4 linked regions of the Arabidopsis thaliana genome follow. The protein of the gene in region 1 interacts with the protein of each later gene in a biochemical or structural test. Each region holds a gene or a part of one and is shown in the gene's direction. Other genes may lie near its edges. The genes, in order: TIR1, IAA14, IAA1 and IAA12.

Region 1 (6,184 bases):
GAGGGACACGAAATAAGAAAGCGAAGATATAAGAAATATAATTGGTCAGAATTTGACAAATCATATAACGATATAGAGAAGAGAACAATATGAATAAAAATGGAAAAAAGGATGGCTTCCACTAATGGGGAAGGTCATTATAATCAAGACATAATCCAAATTAGCTTTATAAATCACGTGCCACTTTACTTGTACTTGTACACCACCTCTTCATCAATCGCATTATATATATCACTCATCATCTATCTTATATATAAACAGTAGTATTATGTAAATACTATAGTACTATGTTATTCTTTTATATATGTCCGTCCACACATGCGTACACATATTTCTATCTCACATAAACAGTAGTAGTATAATGCAGTCTGTAATATTCTCGGCTTTTAGGTACACAATTTATAATTCATTCAGAGTTGGATCTAATATCGCTGAAGAGATAATTAAAAAAATAATTAGGGAGATAATTAAGGGATAATAGACAGCAAAGAGCAAGCTAGTTTTGAGTACGAAACCCGAGACTAGGAGAAAGAAATAAGAGAGATTCGCGGGGGAGCCATGCGTGGGATTATTATTCTAATCATTTCCTTAAAAAATTCATAATCAATGACCTCTTATTATATCAGTGTAAGTTAATCCCTTTTTCTGACGACATTAAAACTTATAATTTTAAAAAAACTTAAGCGTATTACGTGCAAGACAACTCAGCTCCACACTTCTCCCATCTGACTATACTCAGCCCTCTCTTTGTTTTTTCCTAATTATCTCTTTCTTCGTTACTACCTCAATTTCTGAGCACTTGCTTGCTACATTTTTTTTTTTTAAAATCTTCGTATTTGTATGTATGTCATTATAATTTTTAGATTTTATTTTTGGTTTAAGAACTAATCAACAGTACATTCAAAAAGAAAACTAGAAAGGTGCGATATTTTAAATAGTAGTTTAAGTGGATAAACGGTCAGGATGGTATGTAATACGAAGATGATATAGAACAGTTTGATAATGTGACAAGTTTTTTTAGTTAGGGCAGGACAGACCTATCAACTCCATGCTCAGACTCTGCAAAGCCCATCATACACTGTTTCGAGAAGAAGGGCATTCTCGTCAATTCAATACCCATTTATTTTCCTCTAAGCCGTTGTACTTGCGACAGAGCCCGAAATAATTGTAGTTTTTATACGTTTATTACACCCAGACGAGGTAAATTAATTAAGAAGTAATTATTAATTTTAAAAGTCACGATTGTGTATGTATGTATGTCCGTACACTGTTAAAAAGGGGTCCCAGATCTGACGGTCGTGATTAAAATGCGACGCTGCACTTTCTTTCTTTCTTTCTTCTCTACTTTATTCAAATTTTTCAGTATCCATTCTTTCTCTCTCTTTTTTTCTTTCTCTACTCATAAAAGTTGTTCACTTTAAATTATTGGATACTTCCCTCACATTTACTCTTTTTTGTGCAATCCTTTCAATTTTAATTTAAATTATTCAGCAATCTTCAAAAACATACAAATAATGTTTTAATCCAATCTCACACGAAAACACTGATTCTTGTTATGTTAATTCATCATTCAACTCTATTTACTTCACTTTAATGCTATGAGAAAGGATACACTTTAGTTAATCAAATTTATCAATACTATATATTACTAGAAAATAGAAAATGAAACTGTGATTAGTCTTGATGGTTTATTTATGAATCCAAGTGGTGGGTAAATAAATGAACATGCAAAACTAATAATAGGAGGAGATAGATGCTCAGATTCCACATCAAAACATGATTGGACGGTTGTGATGTCATCATAAATAACAGTAATAGCTTCTTTTTTTATTGTTTTGTTACCGTCAGATCATTAGTAGTCTAGTATTTTTTTTAACATTCTGTTGTGGTCCCCGCAATTTACGGGGCTTCCCCTCATATCCAGCCGTGCATCGCGTATCATTAGATTCCCTCTTCTCCTACACCTTACCACACCCTATCATTGATCTCCTTCTCGCGCTATTTTGATAGAAGCCGCGATAAGCCGACCCCCCCTCTCCAATATCTCGTCCCGTTTTCTGCGGCTGCCCTTCTCTGCACAGTCGATAAGATAATCTCCCGCTTTCATTCAATCGGACGGCTGGTATTTGAAGCTTATAAGACACGTGTCATCATCAGAATCGACAATCACAATCACCGAAAAGGCTCACATGGATATGTTTGACCACGGTTAACTTTTAACCCAACCATGGTTGGCTTTTTTAACTTGACCTCCTTCTCCTTCCCCCTATCCTTTTCTCTTCTCTTCCCACTCTCTCTCTCTCTCTATCTATCTTCTTCATCTTTGTTTCAGCTTCTCCTTTGAAACTAGATTATCTCCGTTAATGGCGCCTCAGATCTAACCTTGGGAGTTATATATATATACTTGTTCAACTCTTCTTCGAACGCTGTCCAACTTCTTCCTCTGGTTCGATCATCGAGATCTCGAGGTTATTTGGCCGCAATGCAGAAGCGAATAGCCTTGTCGTTTCCAGAAGAGGTACTAGAGCATGTGTTCTCGTTTATTCAGCTGGATAAGGATAGGAACTCAGTCTCTCTGGTGTGCAAGTCATGGTACGAGATCGAGCGGTGGTGCAGGAGGAAAGTCTTCATCGGGAACTGCTACGCCGTGAGTCCAGCGACGGTGATTAGGAGGTTCCCGAAAGTGAGATCCGTGGAGCTTAAAGGAAAACCTCACTTTGCTGACTTTAATTTGGTACCTGACGGATGGGGAGGTTACGTGTATCCATGGATTGAGGCCATGTCTTCGTCTTACACGTGGCTTGAAGAGATAAGGCTGAAGAGGATGGTGGTCACCGACGATTGCTTGGAGCTCATAGCCAAGTCTTTTAAGAATTTTAAGGTTCTTGTGCTTTCTTCCTGCGAAGGCTTCTCCACCGATGGTCTCGCTGCTATCGCTGCCACTTGCAGGTATTCTTTTTCTGAATGTTTTTTGTTTCATCAAGAAGACTCCCTTGTGTCTCTAGGAAGAAGCTTTTGTTTGTATTAAACTTATTGGTGTGTGATTTGTATATTCATTATACTACATAAAGTCTCAATTATAGCAAATTCATGTACTTGTTATTTGATCTGGGCATATAGGTTTTGCTGCGTTGTTCCTGCTGATGTTACTCTGGTCTTTGTGAGCTTTTTTTTGGTTTGGTCAAGATTTTGCGTATCTAAAAGATATATGTTTTAATCACGTTTCTGAAGATTCTTATTATAGCCACTCTCTTTTTCTTTCTGGTGGGTCTTATTTAACGGTGGTGTATCTATTTATTCCTGGATTATTCGCTCTCAGTGAATCTCCTGAGGTGGGAAATCTAATCAATTTGGCTTTGTGTGTGTTACTTTTCTTTTTGTAGGGGACTTTCAATTTTCTTTTTTTACCTTGTTGGGAAACTTAGATCTGTTTTCGGATTCCCCTTCTTTACTCGCTTTAGCTCTGTTTTAGCATCTCTCACATTGCTTCCACGTGATAAATTTAGTAATTTGTTATTGTTCTATGCTTAGATAGTTTCCCAAAGTGATCTTTCTACATTGTATCAAATACAACTTTGGACAAATTAATGACAATTATGCTCATGTATTGTAGGCAATGTTTATGTTCTCGAAGTTGTATAATGTGGGTCACTCGATGCTAATTATGTGATTTCTTATGCAGGAATCTGAAAGAGCTTGACTTACGAGAGAGTGATGTTGACGACGTTAGTGGCCACTGGCTTAGCCATTTCCCAGATACATACACTTCTTTGGTATCACTCAATATATCTTGCTTAGCATCTGAGGTCAGTTTCTCTGCTCTGGAAAGGCTGGTGACTAGGTGTCCCAATCTCAAGTCTCTCAAGCTTAACCGAGCTGTTCCACTTGAAAAATTGGCTACTTTACTTCAAAGAGCACCTCAATTGGAGGAATTGGGCACTGGTGGGTACACTGCAGAAGTGCGACCAGATGTTTACTCTGGTTTATCTGTAGCGCTCTCTGGGTGCAAGGAATTGAGGTGCTTATCTGGATTTTGGGATGCTGTTCCTGCCTATCTTCCAGCAGTTTATTCGGTTTGCAGTCGGCTTACAACTTTGAATCTGAGTTATGCAACAGTCCAGAGCTATGATCTTGTCAAGCTTCTTTGTCAATGCCCTAAACTGCAGCGCCTCTGGGTGAGTCCATTTTAACATACATTAACACATGAATTTGGAATAGGTCATTTTACTGTATGGTATGAGAAAGCTTATGTTCATAGTTTTCTTAAAAAATTTGAATGATATAGAGCAATATATCTGAATTATAAGCATTAAAGCCTTTTTCTTTTTGTAACTGTGCTCTAACTTATTATTGACTACAGGTGCTTGACTACATCGAGGATGCTGGTCTTGAGGTGCTTGCTTCAACCTGCAAGGACCTACGCGAGCTGAGAGTGTTTCCGTCCGAGCCTTTTGTCATGGAACCAAATGTGGCATTGACGGAACAGGGGCTTGTCTCCGTCTCCATGGGCTGTCCAAAACTCGAGTCGGTTCTCTACTTCTGCCGTCAAATGACCAATGCTGCATTGATAACCATTGCTAGGAACCGTCCCAACATGACTCGCTTCCGTTTGTGCATCATTGAGCCAAAAGCCCCAGACTATCTGACTCTAGAGCCACTGGATATTGGATTTGGAGCCATAGTAGAGCACTGCAAGGATCTCCGTCGCCTCTCTCTATCTGGCCTCTTGACCGACAAGGTTTTTGAATACATTGGGACATATGCCAAGAAGATGGAAATGCTCTCAGTGGCATTTGCAGGAGACAGTGACTTAGGCATGCATCATGTTTTGTCCGGGTGCGATAGCTTGAGGAAACTAGAGATAAGGGACTGCCCGTTTGGAGACAAGGCGCTTTTGGCCAATGCTTCAAAGCTGGAGACAATGCGATCCCTTTGGATGTCTTCTTGTTCCGTGAGTTTTGGAGCCTGCAAGTTACTAGGACAGAAGATGCCAAAGCTGAATGTGGAAGTCATCGATGAACGGGGTGCACCGGACTCGAGACCAGAGAGCTGCCCTGTTGAGAGAGTCTTCATATACCGAACAGTGGCTGGTCCTCGATTTGACATGCCTGGCTTCGTCTGGAACATGGACCAAGACTCAACAATGAGGTTTTCCAGGCAAATCATTACTACTAACGGATTATAAGACAAAGAAACGAGGTACATTTTTCATTAATCCTTGTTCATCATCCCATATAATCGTGTTCCGGTTTAGGAACATGAGAGAGCTCGGTCGCCAATAATTTGAATCTCGGCTGCTTCATATAACCATCAAGCTCATGAGCAATGAATAAGTGGAGAGAGAGAAAGAGAGATCTAAGAGAGCTTTGTTTTATTTATGTAAGAATTATTGATTGTTGTATGTTTATTTGGCTACTTACACTGAGAGATCCTGGTGGGGTATTTTTCTTAAGAGGATAAGAGATTTTTTTAAAAGACAATGTCAAAAATGTAACTGTTCTACTTGTTTTGTTTGGACTCTTTTATCCTTTTAAATGTTTTCTATCTCTCTCTCTCTTTGTCTTTGCCATTTCCTTTGTCCGCTTAATGAACTGTTTGCAGCCTTTTCGGTTTTGGAACAGCACCTAGTTTCGTCTCAGGTCCCTACACTCTCTTTATCACCATAATTAGAAACAAGAGAATCTTGCTCTGTGTAAAGGTCTTGGAATAGCATCATCGTCAAACGTGTGATAGGACACAATGTAATTGAACTGTTGTTTTTCATATGAAAAACAAGCTTTTTCAAATTTTCAGTTTACATGATGACTAAACACAGTAATACCATTTATATAACAGTACGATATTTTCCGTTTCAAGTGTTTTTAGGCCAAGAACAAAAATAAATAAGCAGAACACAGCCCTATCGCTCTATGGTTGGACCAATGACGGGAAAATTCAATGAAGAAGAGTTGGCTTCAGAAAATGATCACTCTGTTTCACTCACTGGATCTTGTGGCGTTGAGATTCTCCGAGTGTTGTATGAACCGCAATCACTGCACTTGTGTCCCAAAATGTGGAACATAGCTTTACTCCCCTTGTTGCAGTCATTGCAGAGAATTGAAACCTGCAGACATTTTCTTGGCGGATGTAAAACCATGAGCACAAGGAAAACAAACCAAGAGGTGGCACAACGTTGGATTTTTAG
Region 2 (3,981 bases), on another chromosome or scaffold:
AAGTAGAATTATTCGTTGGGCTCTCGGAACTCGGAAGCTAATGCTAAAATAGTCCATCATGAATGTAGTGCATCTGTTTTACTAATGGTTTGTGCTAATTAATGTTGTTTATATATGATAGGCTTCCGCATAAGTGATGTTGCTTTTTATTTTATTTTTATTACTAAAAAGTTTAGGCCTAGGAACATACGTCCTCTCAAACTAGAGCATTTTATATGGTTTCTTTCCAAATGTCATTACAACTGGTGATTTCTAGGTTTTGTCTTATAGTCTTTAACAATTGAGCTATTAACACTCAGTAAGTAATGTTATTGACATAAAAGAAATGTTTATTTGTAATATGATCAAATTTAACGATATATTATCAACCAAATAGTTTTATAATAATTATTTGAATACTAATAAAAATAAATATAAATGACTGTATATGTCGATAATATTAAATTTACATGATCTTGATTTACTAATACTCAGTTAGATTGTAACTTTTAATATTTTCATCAGATTTGAATATCAACTTTTGCTGGATATTTTAACTTTTTAAGTAAAGTATTCATTATGGTGTTATTAATTAAAAGGATTATGTATCATTGGAATATTTTATTGTATCTAAAATAATAGTCATTTTATTTCCAAAGATTTCCAAAGGATATTATCCCATAACCACAAAACAATGGGTGGTATAGTTTATATAGAGATCGCAAGTAAAATCCATGTGCACTTTTAGCTTATTTAAGTTTTGAACGGCTCATTATATTCTTATTATTTTTGATATCCAATGATTAACTAAAATCAATGATAAGAAATTTGATTATAATACGTCTAAACAAAGAAAATGTAATTGAGCATGCTAATAAATATAGTCACAAAGCCGCACTTTCCGTCGAACAAATTATACGTTCATGTGTGGTTATACTTGAACCACATGATTGGAAGGTTCGGAAGACAAGCTTATTTTAATTTGATTATGCTCTTTAATAATGATTTAATGGACAACTGAACAAGCCCATTTTCCTAAAATTGCCCCATCATTTCCCGGAATTTCAGGACAATGTTGAGAGAAGATGGTCCAAATTGAAGTAAAATATATACTAAGATTGTTATCATTGATTATTTGTTGTACGTCTTAATTAGGATCAAACTTAGTTGGTCATAACTATTTTCACCGATGCTGACTTCGAAAGTTTTAAGAAATATAATTATATGATTAAATCATATAATAATGTTGACCAAATACGATTCACGGAATTTTTACCGCCCAATTTCTGTATACATGTGATGTGATACGTGAAGAGTTGACCAATGGAGGCAACGTCTAACAAATTGGTAGGCAATTAAAAAAGTACATTAATCATAGAAGTGATCAATAAAGACATTACTTAGACATGTTGAAAGAGGTACTCATGTTTTTATAATATCATTTTTATTTACTCGGAATCTTAATATATTTTCATTTTTATTTACTTAACATATTTTGGGCAAACGTATGTTCGTATTTTCAAAACCTAAGAGATGTAACAATATCATTCAACAATCAACGGTCATCACTCATCACCTATACTTTTCAGGTTATTGACATGAAAGAGTGAGATTTACTAAAACAACCTACCAACGTTTAGCAGAAGGCCACGTGTTGAGAACCCACATTGCAAGAAAATGTAGGGATTCCATGCACTACAGCAGATACACAATAGACCTTTGTATTTTAATAGTTAAAGAATTAGAAAAGTCAGACGACTAATCACGGGTTTAAACCGTTTTTTTTCTACCACTATAGTATAGTACTATAGTCTCTTTCTTCGTCCCTTATATTATCGACTCTATCTCCTTACCTCATTCTTGTTCCCCTCTTATCAAACTTCACCCCCAACAAGAGTTATCGAGAGAGAGAGAAAACATATTCTGATTTAAGACATATATAGACAGCAAGAAGAGATATGAACCTTAAGGAGACGGAGCTTTGTCTTGGCCTCCCCGGAGGCACTGAAACCGTTGAAAGTCCGGCCAAGTCGGGTGTTGGGAACAAGAGAGGCTTCTCCGAGACCGTTGATCTCAAACTTAATCTTCAATCTAACAAACAAGGACATGTGGATCTCAACACTAATGGAGCTCCCAAGGAGAAGACCTTCCTTAAAGACCCTTCTAAGCCTCCTGCTAAGTAAGTTCTATTTACACAATTCCTTAAGAAGAAGACCTTCCTTAAAAGGGAAGACTTTTTTTTTTTTTTTTTGAGATAAAAAGACTAATAGTTGATATAAAAGTTCTTAAAATACATATATATGAAAGATGTAAGGATGCATAAGTAATAACGTTATTGAATGTGTGTGTGTGTTGTTATATTCTATGCAGAGCACAAGTGGTGGGTTGGCCACCGGTGAGGAACTACCGGAAAAATGTTATGGCTAATCAGAAGAGCGGCGAAGCAGAGGAGGCAATGAGTAGTGGTGGAGGAACCGTCGCCTTTGTGAAGGTTTCCATGGATGGAGCTCCTTATCTTCGGAAGGTTGACCTCAAGATGTACACCAGCTACAAGGATCTCTCTGATGCCTTGGCCAAAATGTTCAGCTCCTTTACCATGGGTATGCATTTTCAGACATATAAGTCGAATTATCATTATTATTTTTGTGTTTACTTACAATTTTTTCTTTTTAACGATACAGTTTTTTCCATATACGACTAATTAATATGATAAGTTTTGGGATTTTGATTAATTAAGGGAGTTATGGAGCACAAGGGATGATAGATTTCATGAACGAGAGTAAAGTGATGGATCTGTTGAACAGTTCTGAGTATGTTCCAAGCTACGAGGACAAAGATGGTGACTGGATGCTCGTTGGTGATGTCCCCTGGCCGTGAGTTTCCTCATTCTTCTTGCTTTCATTATTATGACCAAAATTATTCTCTAAACAAAAAAAACAATATTCTCTAAAGCATTATTATTGATATTACTTATCAAAAAAATACACAAAATGATAATCAATATCCATGTGTTATAAACACGCACAGCCATCTTTTGGTTGGCATGGGACAGAACTCAGAGACAGAGAAGATGTTTATATATAAATACTAACTCATCAATATGTTACCTCATTTGTAGCTGGCACATATTCTTTCACTTTCAATAGATTTCTAAATTTAGTCACCAACCCAAATCCCGATTTCAGGATGTTTGTCGAGTCATGCAAACGTTTGCGCATAATGAAAGGATCCGAAGCAATTGGACTTGGTAAGTTTTCTTTTCTGTTCGTTTCTATAAGTGGCTCTTTTCTGTTTTTCCAATAATGCTCGTGTTTTTTTTTCAGCTCCAAGAGCAATGGAGAAGTTCAAGAACAGATCATGAACAAAAAAAAAAGAGGACAATATGCATTGATTTTTTTTTTTTGGTATTGTTATGATCATGTGTTTTTAATTTAAAATATTGGAAGTATATAGGAAAATATAATTGTTTACGAAAAAAATAACTTTAAATATGTCTTTTTTTTTTTTTTTGAAATTAGTCTGTGTTTTTGTTTTCATCTCTTAATTAGTAGAAATCATTTTTTAATATGTAATTGTGATAGTAAATCTATAGAGTTCGTATTTTTGCTATTTAAAATTTAAAATGCTAATACTATATATAATTTATGATAGGTAAATTTACGTTAAATAATTTATCTCCACTTTTCCTACTTTATTATTCTTTTCCTCTTTATTTTCTCATTTATTGGCTTTACAGATTATATTTGAAATTTGTAACTATTTTTGATGTATCTAAAAACATTTCACATAACAATTTCTTAAGAAAACTAAGAAAACTGTTGGTATATTTTTTGACTAAAATGGTTTCCAAAAAGATTTTGAAACGAACTAAAATCTTCATTACAAAACCAATTTTAAAACTACAAAACAAATATTCATGGTTTTAAGTTTCTTTTTTCTTTCCTAGTTACGTGGGAATACGTTATTAAATTCAGGACCCATGAGAGGCGTAGGGAACAAGAG
Region 3 (3,336 bases), on another chromosome or scaffold:
TATCATCTCCCACACAATGAGAGGGATTTCCAAAACAGATTTAACAAATGTTACTTCTTATAAGCATACGTCTTGTTTTATATTGAACACGCAAGCCTCTAGCGACTAGCATCTCTGTATTTCATGATCAAGTTTATACATATACTTTTTTATTTGTTATACTCTTTATGTTTTTTTTAATAAAAAAAATTGTTTTGGATGAATATGAAAAGAATAAGAAACTAGAAATAACTTTTTGATTAATAATAGTTCAATAATATGAGTACTAATTATTAATTTAAAACACAAATGTTGTATGGAAAAACAAAAACAACAACTAAAATGACAAAAAATTGTTCAACCATCTTATAAACTTTAAACGTAGGGAGCATTACTTTATACTTGTTGTAAAAACGATAATGCTTATTGGTAAAATAACCCATATACATTTTGATTTGTCAATATGTTCATATATGATCTAGTTTTTGTTCTCGTTGTCGCTAGATAGACAATAAAATTTCTTAGTGGACAGTGATTGTGGAATGAATATACGCCCAACACAAATATAAACATCAAATTAAGGTGCATGCGGTATGGGAATTGCAAGTTAAATGAACATAGTTATGCGTAATTTCGAGAAGGGATTAATTGTATTACCTTGCTCGAAATACCACATGGGCCGTGTCCCCAAAAGCCCATTTAAAATGGTTTTTTTTTTTTTTTAAATCATCTCTTTAGATATTTTTTTCAACTCTTTTTCAACAAAATATATAGTTTCATATAGATATTTGTATTTATAATAAATGTTAAAATGAAATTTTACACAATAATTAAAATAAAATAAATAGAAAAAATGTTATTTGAGACAGCATATCACATGGCCTTACCATACTTCCTGCATCCATTATTCCATTAAGAACACTCTTCACCCTCATCCACATGCATCTCCCTCCCCAATTTATTTACTATTGATCATAATTGTACAAACCTATACTTACAATTTATATATGTGTCTACGAGAAAATAAATAATATTTTACAGTGTTTTGTCTATTATTTTGTTCTATAGTTTCTTGCAAACAAAACATTACTTTTCACGCAAAAACTGTCGAAATATTTATAAAAGGAAATTGTTAATTCTTCGATACAAATTGACCATTAATATTTGATCATCTATTCTAGACATCTACTCTACCATATACCAAACCTTTACACAAAAATGAAATATTTTCATGAAAACTACCCCACAACTGGGGTGATCGAAAAAGCTTGATCTATATGATCAACATGTCCAACACTAGTTTCATTTTTTCTACTATGATATCCGATGATCCAATCTGAACTATACAAAATGTATCTAGATATTTTCTTGAATCAATCCGAATAACGAATAGTTGCAAAACATAAACCTAGCGTGATCGTGTGGTAGAAGGACGAAGGTCGAGAAGTTCTCTTACTCTTATGATTTTCTCTTTACTCATTTGACCGTAAGAGAAAGAAACGGCTAGGATCTCGCGTACGCAACTGGCGGAGACAAATCAGGACCGTTGAAAATAAGAAAGAAGCCGCGTCCAAAATCTTTGTGTCCCACCTTTGTCCCCTTGCCTCTAACTTGCCTCCTCATGCTCCCCGACAACGTCATAATTCATATCTCTCTCTCTCTCTCGTTAACCCTAATTTCAAAGCATCTTTCCTTATATAAATCTCTCTCTCTCCCTCACCATTACACAACACACACAAGCATTTTCAAGGATATCAAATCACAATCCCAAGAAGAGCAATAACAAGAGAAGAAGAAGTAGTTCAAGAATTAAGGAAGAGAGCTTCTCCGTTAAAGTATAGTGAGAGAATATGGAAGTCACCAATGGGCTTAACCTTAAGGACACAGAGCTTCGTTTGGGATTACCCGGAGCACAAGAAGAACAACAACTAGAACTTTCTTGCGTCAGAAGCAACAACAAGCGCAAGAACAACGACTCAACAGAAGAATCTGCTCCTCCTCCTGCAAAGTAAGTTGAGATCTGAAAGTTATAGTTTTAATATCCAAACTTCTTGATATCAATCGGTGTACTAATAATGAATCTTGATTTGTAAACTTCAGAACACAAATCGTTGGATGGCCTCCAGTGAGATCTAACCGTAAGAACAACAACAACAAAAACGTGAGTTATGTGAAAGTGAGTATGGACGGAGCTCCATATCTCCGTAAGATAGATCTCAAGATGTACAAAAACTATCCAGAGCTTCTCAAAGCACTAGAGAACATGTTCAAGTTCACAGTAGGTGAATATTCCGAGAGAGAAGGCTACAAAGGATCTGGATTTGTACCTACTTATGAAGACAAAGATGGAGATTGGATGTTGGTCGGTGATGTTCCATGGGACATGTTCTCTTCATCTTGTCAAAAACTCAGAATCATGAAAGGATCCGAAGCTCCTACTGCCTTATGATCCATTGTCTCAAAACACCTTTTGGTCGAGGCAAAAACAAATTCTACTTTGTTTAGATAAAAAAAAGTTTGGTGTAAAGAAAGAAAAAGCAATAGGGTTACAAATACGTTATATAGATGTAAACTAGCTTTGGTTAATTCTGTAAAAGATGAGTTTTGATTATACGAAGTTTATATGTATGCTCAAGATATTTGATACTAACATAACCAATAAAGTTTAGTATTTGATACTAACATAAGTTTGGGACATAGTGAAAGATATAAAATTTTGGATTAAGAAATGGGCAATGTAATGGATATCACTATCGAAAGTTTTCAACTTTTTTTTGTTTTGTTTAATATTAGATGGCGAGAATCTTTAGTCACTACCCAATAACTTGCTCCACCAATTTGGGATTTGACTTGAGCTCTTCTCATCGTCATCTTCGTCGCCTTCTTTTCCGATCTACTTTCATCACTCCTTCACTCACTCAGTCTCCGTAAGCTCTTCTTCTTCTTCTCTCAGTCTCTGTTTTTCAATCCGAAAATTCATTACTTTGATGGTGTTACCACGAATTGAGAATCATTGATGGTATTGCTTTGATGGGTATCGTTTATATGACAGTTTTTAATCCGAAAGTTTATTACTTTGATTGGTTTTTTGTTTGTTCTGTTTTAACGAATTTGAAGCCAATCATATCTACTAAGAACTTGATTGGTTTAGAGTTATGGATGATGAATCTGATTAATGGAATTGTTTTGCAATCATTAGTGATTTATGAGATACTTGTTTCAGTTACAAGAATTGGATTCGAAGATTTGTAGCTATGGATTCTTCTGGAACTGATTCGGCTAAAGAATTGCATGTTGGTTTGGACCCAACTACAGAGGAAGAGTATGCCACACAGTCAAAGTTACTTCAAGAGTTCA
Region 4 (4,415 bases), on another chromosome or scaffold:
ATCGTGGCCGAGCTTCCCCGTACTTATCGAAGCACGGAACACCATTGAGATCAAACATTATCGCATCTACTCCGATGAGATCTAACGGAGTTGGATCAACTCCTATGAGATCCAACATCATCGCAATGTCACCGATGCATCCCAACATGGTTGGATCGACTCCAATGCGAACTCCTATGCGGTCTAACATGGTTGGTTCGACTCCAATGAGATCAAACATCGTCGGATCAACCCCGATCCGATCAAACTACATGGCTACACCGATGAGAACTCATCACGATTTTGGTACACCAGTGAGGAATTTAGCTGGAAGACGAATCTTAACTGAATCGGAGTTAGGACCATCGCCATCTGAAGTGGCTGACAAATTGGCGAAAGATAGATCGCACGAAACGGAAAGTTCAATACTCAGCGAATGGAGCATCGATGAATCTAGCATCGAAGGATTGCGATCAAAACTCGAGAGATGGCGAACAGAGCTTCCACCGTTGTACGACATAGGATCAAGCCATATAAGTAGCACTGATTACGATGGCGCGAGCGTTCCAGCTGCAACTGCCGGGGGAGGAATGAGTTCAAGACGGAAAACTCCGACGACGAAAAAGCATAACCGCCGTCACACAGATGGAGGTAATGGACTTTTCTCGTGTTTTAGTAAGATTTGTGGTGTGGAATGCAGTTTCGTATGCGGTGGTGGTGGTGGGCCGATGGTCTCAGAAGGATCTACTAAGAAAGGTGGAGCCGGACGTGTGCAACGCACATATTCCGCTGACGATCTGAGCTTTGTGTGATCTTTATTTTATTGGTCTTATATTAACTTTTATTTTTTTTGGAAAACTATATTTTTTAAGGATCTGAGCTGATGAATTAATCAAATAGTAAACAAAAATTAATTTATTAATGTTGTGTTAATAAATCATTTATTTTTGTGTATTCCTCTTCTTCTTCCTTATTTTTAAAAAATTAAAAAATGTTCTTCTTATAATATAGTGTTTAATAGAAAGTGAGCTCACACAACAAAATTAGAAAACTGTGAATGAATGTAAGAGAGTGAGTGGAATAAAAAAAATATAAAAATGAAATCTAAGAGTGAGTGAACAAATGTTGGTATTGTAGACAATGGTGACTAAAATTAAAAAGAAACAAAATGATATAAACATTAATCTAAAAAAAACTAAAATAAATATACAAATTCTGCATTTCTAACTATACTTTCATGTATTATGTATACTTATTTGATTCATACATGATATAACCGGTTATTTAGTTTATTTTCTATCAAATCCATCAATTAGAGCATGAAATCTATGTACTCCTTGATAATGATTTTGATCAAAAGTGTAATTTCCACAAACCAATTGCGCCTGCAAAAGTTTTCAAAGGATCATCAAACATAATGATGAATATCTCATCACCACGATTTTATAATAATGCATCTTTTCCCACCATTTTTTTTCCCTCACTTTCTTTTATAATCTTGTTCGACAACAATCATGGTCTAAGGAAAAAGTTGAAAATATATATTATCTTAGTTATTAGAAAAGAAAGATAATCAAATGGTCAATATGCAAATGGCATATGACCATAAACGAGTTTGCTAGTATAAAGAATGATGGCCAACCTGTTAAAGAGAGACTAAAATTAGGTCTAAAATCTAGGAGCAATGTAACCAATACATAGTATATGAAATATAAAAGTTAATTTAGATTTTTTGATTAGCCCAAATTAAAGAAAAATGGTATTTAAAACAGAGACTCTTCATCCTAAAGGCTAAAGCAATACAATTTTTGGTTAAGAAAAGAAAAAAACCACAAGCGGAAAAGAAAACAAAAAAGAACTATATTATGATGCAACAGCAACACAAAGCAAAACCTTGCACACACACATACAACTGTAAACAAGTTTCTTGGGACTCTCTATTTTCTCTTGCTGCTTGAACCAAACACAACAACGATATCCCAACGAGAGCACAACAGGTTTGATTATGTCGGAAGACAAGTTTTGAGAGAAAACAAACAATATTTTATAACAAAGGAGAAGACTTTTGGTTAGAAAAAATTGGTATGGCCATTACAAGACATATGGGTCCCAATTCTCATCACTCTCTCCACCACCAAAATCCTCCTCTCTCTCTCTCTCTTTTACTCTGTTTTCATCATCTCTTTCTCTCGTCTCTCTCAAACCCTAAATACACTCTTTCTCTTCTTGTTGTCTCCATTCTCTCTGTGTCATCAAGCTTCTTTTTTGTGTGGGTTATTTGAAAGACACTTTCTCTGCTGGTATCATTGGAGTCTAGGGTTTTGTTATTGACATGCGTGGTGTGTCAGAATTGGAGGTGGGGAAGAGTAATCTTCCGGCGGAGAGTGAGCTGGAATTGGGATTAGGGCTCAGCCTCGGTGGTGGCGCGTGGAAAGAGCGTGGGAGGATTCTTACTGCTAAGGATTTTCCTTCCGTTGGGTCTAAACGCTCTGCTGAATCTTCCTCTCACCAAGGAGCTTCTCCTCCTCGTTCAAGGTTCGTCCTTTTTCTTATTAAGAAAGCTCAAATCTTGTGATGTGAGTGTTATGCCATCTCAGGACAGAATTGTGTAGGTGCTTTTGTTTTAGTTTACCCTGAATAAGAGTTAGGTATCTATCTCCATTGATGAGCTTGTGCTTGTCCTGTGCTATAGATTTCTCTATGGAGTCATGCAAATGCTAAGATTTGTTCATTTTAATGTCTGTTTAGATGATTACATCTGAATTTCGAGAGCCATTGAGTGGAAATTTCTTGGTTTGTTGTGGCAGTCAAGTGGTAGGATGGCCACCAATTGGGTTACACAGGATGAACAGTTTGGTTAATAACCAAGCTATGAAGGCAGCAAGAGCGGAAGAAGGAGACGGGGAGAAGAAAGTTGTGAAGAATGATGAGCTCAAAGATGTGTCAATGAAGGTGAATCCGAAAGTTCAGGGCTTAGGGTTTGTTAAGGTGAATATGGATGGAGTTGGTATAGGCAGAAAAGTGGATATGAGAGCTCATTCGTCTTACGAAAACTTGGCTCAGACGCTTGAGGAAATGTTCTTTGGAATGACAGGTCTGTACTGTTTTCAAATGCGTACACTATAAACCCGATGTTTTCTATGAATCTACTGATAGTTTCTGTTTTATCTATCAGGTACTACTTGTCGAGAAAAGGTTAAACCTTTAAGGCTTTTAGATGGATCATCAGACTTTGTACTCACTTATGAAGATAAGGAAGGGGATTGGATGCTTGTTGGAGATGTTCCATGGAGGTAAGATTCGGATATTAAGCAGTATTGCAGTAGTTCAAAACCTGATTAGTCTCTTTTCTCTCTTTTTGTTTAGAATGTTTATCAACTCGGTGAAAAGGCTTCGGATCATGGGAACCTCAGAAGCTAGTGGACTAGGTAAGTTTTAAAGATCATCTTCTGGTTTCTTGATTTCTCGTCTTGACTAATGAAAAAGACTGATTGAATCATTTTTAATGCAGCTCCAAGACGTCAAGAGCAGAAGGATAGACAAAGAAACAACCCTGTTTAGCTTCCCTTCCAAAGCTGGCATTGTTTATGTATTGTTTGAGGTTTGCAATTTACTCGATACTTTTTGAAGAAAGTATTTTGGAGAATATGGATAAAAGCATGCAGAAGCTTAGATATGATTTGAATCCGGTTTTCGGATATGGTTTTGCTTAGGTCATTCAATTCGTAGTTTTCCAGTTTGTTTCTTCTTTGGCTGTGTACCAATTATCTATGTTCTGTGAGAGAAAGCTCTTGTTTATTTGTTCTCTCAGATTGTAAATAGTTGAAGTTATCTAATTAATGTGATAAGAGTTATGTTTATGATTCCAAAGAATGAATATTTGTTCCTTAATATGGTTTGTTGTTTTCTGTCTTTTTGAAGTTTCCATTGACTCGAGTCAAAACGTTTTGCAGAAACAGAGAAGAGTGTGTCATTAAAAAAAACAGAGAAGATGTTTATTTTTTTTGGTCGAAGAGAAGATGTTTCTAAGACCATCAAAATCATATATTGATGATTGATGACAAGAAAAGTTTTGACCATCAAAAGTTTTGTCCTTAATTGTTCTTAAATTCACACAAAATACGTTAAGAGTTATCTTTTAAAACTGCAAACTACTTTAAATTGATAAACTTTGAAAAGTAAAGATTTTATTCTTAATCTGATAGTTGAAGACAAAGAAAATAACAAATGTTTGGATTCACGTCACCAAATCAAAATATAATAAGGTTATGGATTGTTTAGGTAATATTTAACTTGTTACCTAGAAAAGGAGATACAGTGCTTAGCAAGTCCAACCAAAGATTAAAGGATAAGTAGTAAAGTCAAAAGACCAGTAAATTAAAGTCTTGTAGAGAAAGGAAGAAGGAAGATTCATGATCCTTGATAAAATTCAAGTT

The links.
Region 2: the proteins of TIR1 (region 1) and IAA14 form a complex in vitro, tested with the Arabidopsis thaliana proteins (one study listed by BioGRID).
Region 3: the proteins of TIR1 (region 1) and IAA1 form a complex in vitro, tested with the Arabidopsis thaliana proteins (one study listed by BioGRID).
Region 4: the proteins of TIR1 (region 1) and IAA12 form a complex in vitro, tested with the Arabidopsis thaliana proteins (one study listed by BioGRID).

Annotation. Positions count from the first base shown.
Region 1 is NC_003074.8:23,272,480-23,278,663, reverse strand, and holds TIR1 (F-box/RNI-like superfamily protein), read left to right. Parts: upstream 1-2,033; 5' UTR 2,034-2,482; coding exon 2,483-2,949; intron 2,950-3,682; coding exon 3,683-4,175; intron 4,176-4,360; coding exon 4,361-5,185; 3' UTR 5,186-5,599; downstream 5,600-6,184. Other genes in the region: AT3G62970 (zinc finger (C3HC4-type RING finger) family protein), read right to left, coding at 5,966-6,103. UniProt on the Arabidopsis thaliana protein: Auxin receptor that mediates Aux/IAA proteins proteasomal degradation and auxin-regulated transcription.
Region 2 is NC_003075.7:8,347,880-8,351,860, reverse strand, and holds IAA14 (indole-3-acetic acid inducible 14), read left to right. Parts: upstream 1-1,597; 5' UTR 1,598-1,937; coding exon 1,938-2,158; intron 2,159-2,349; coding exon 2,350-2,579; coding exon of another isoform or gene 2,580-2,680; intron 2,681-2,716; coding exon 2,717-2,852; coding exon of another isoform or gene 2,853-2,856; intron 2,857-3,164; coding exon 3,165-3,282; downstream 3,283-3,981. UniProt on the Arabidopsis thaliana protein: Aux/IAA proteins are short-lived transcriptional factors that function as repressors of early auxin response genes at low auxin concentrations.
Region 3 is NC_003075.7:8,359,353-8,362,688, forward strand, and holds IAA1 (indole-3-acetic acid inducible), read left to right. Parts: upstream 1-1,643; 5' UTR 1,644-1,829; coding exon 1,830-1,987; intron 1,988-2,079; coding exon 2,080-2,428; 3' UTR 2,429-2,681; downstream 2,682-3,336. Other genes in the region: AARE (acylaminoacyl-peptidase-like protein), read left to right, coding at 2,773-2,906, 3,203-3,336. UniProt on the Arabidopsis thaliana protein: Aux/IAA proteins are short-lived transcriptional factors that function as repressors of early auxin response genes at low auxin concentrations.
Region 4 is NC_003070.9:1,238,271-1,242,685, forward strand, and holds IAA12 (AUX/IAA transcriptional regulator family protein), read left to right. Parts: upstream 1-2,023; 5' UTR 2,024-2,311; coding exon 2,312-2,514; intron 2,515-2,786; coding exon 2,787-3,073; coding exon of another isoform or gene 3,074-3,105; exon of another isoform or gene 3,106-3,154; coding exon 3,155-3,272; exon of another isoform or gene 3,273-3,345; coding exon 3,346-3,407; intron 3,408-3,490; coding exon 3,491-3,540; 3' UTR 3,541-3,887; downstream 3,888-4,415. Other genes in the region: AT1G04540 (Calcium-dependent lipid-binding (CaLB domain) family protein), read left to right, coding at 1-791.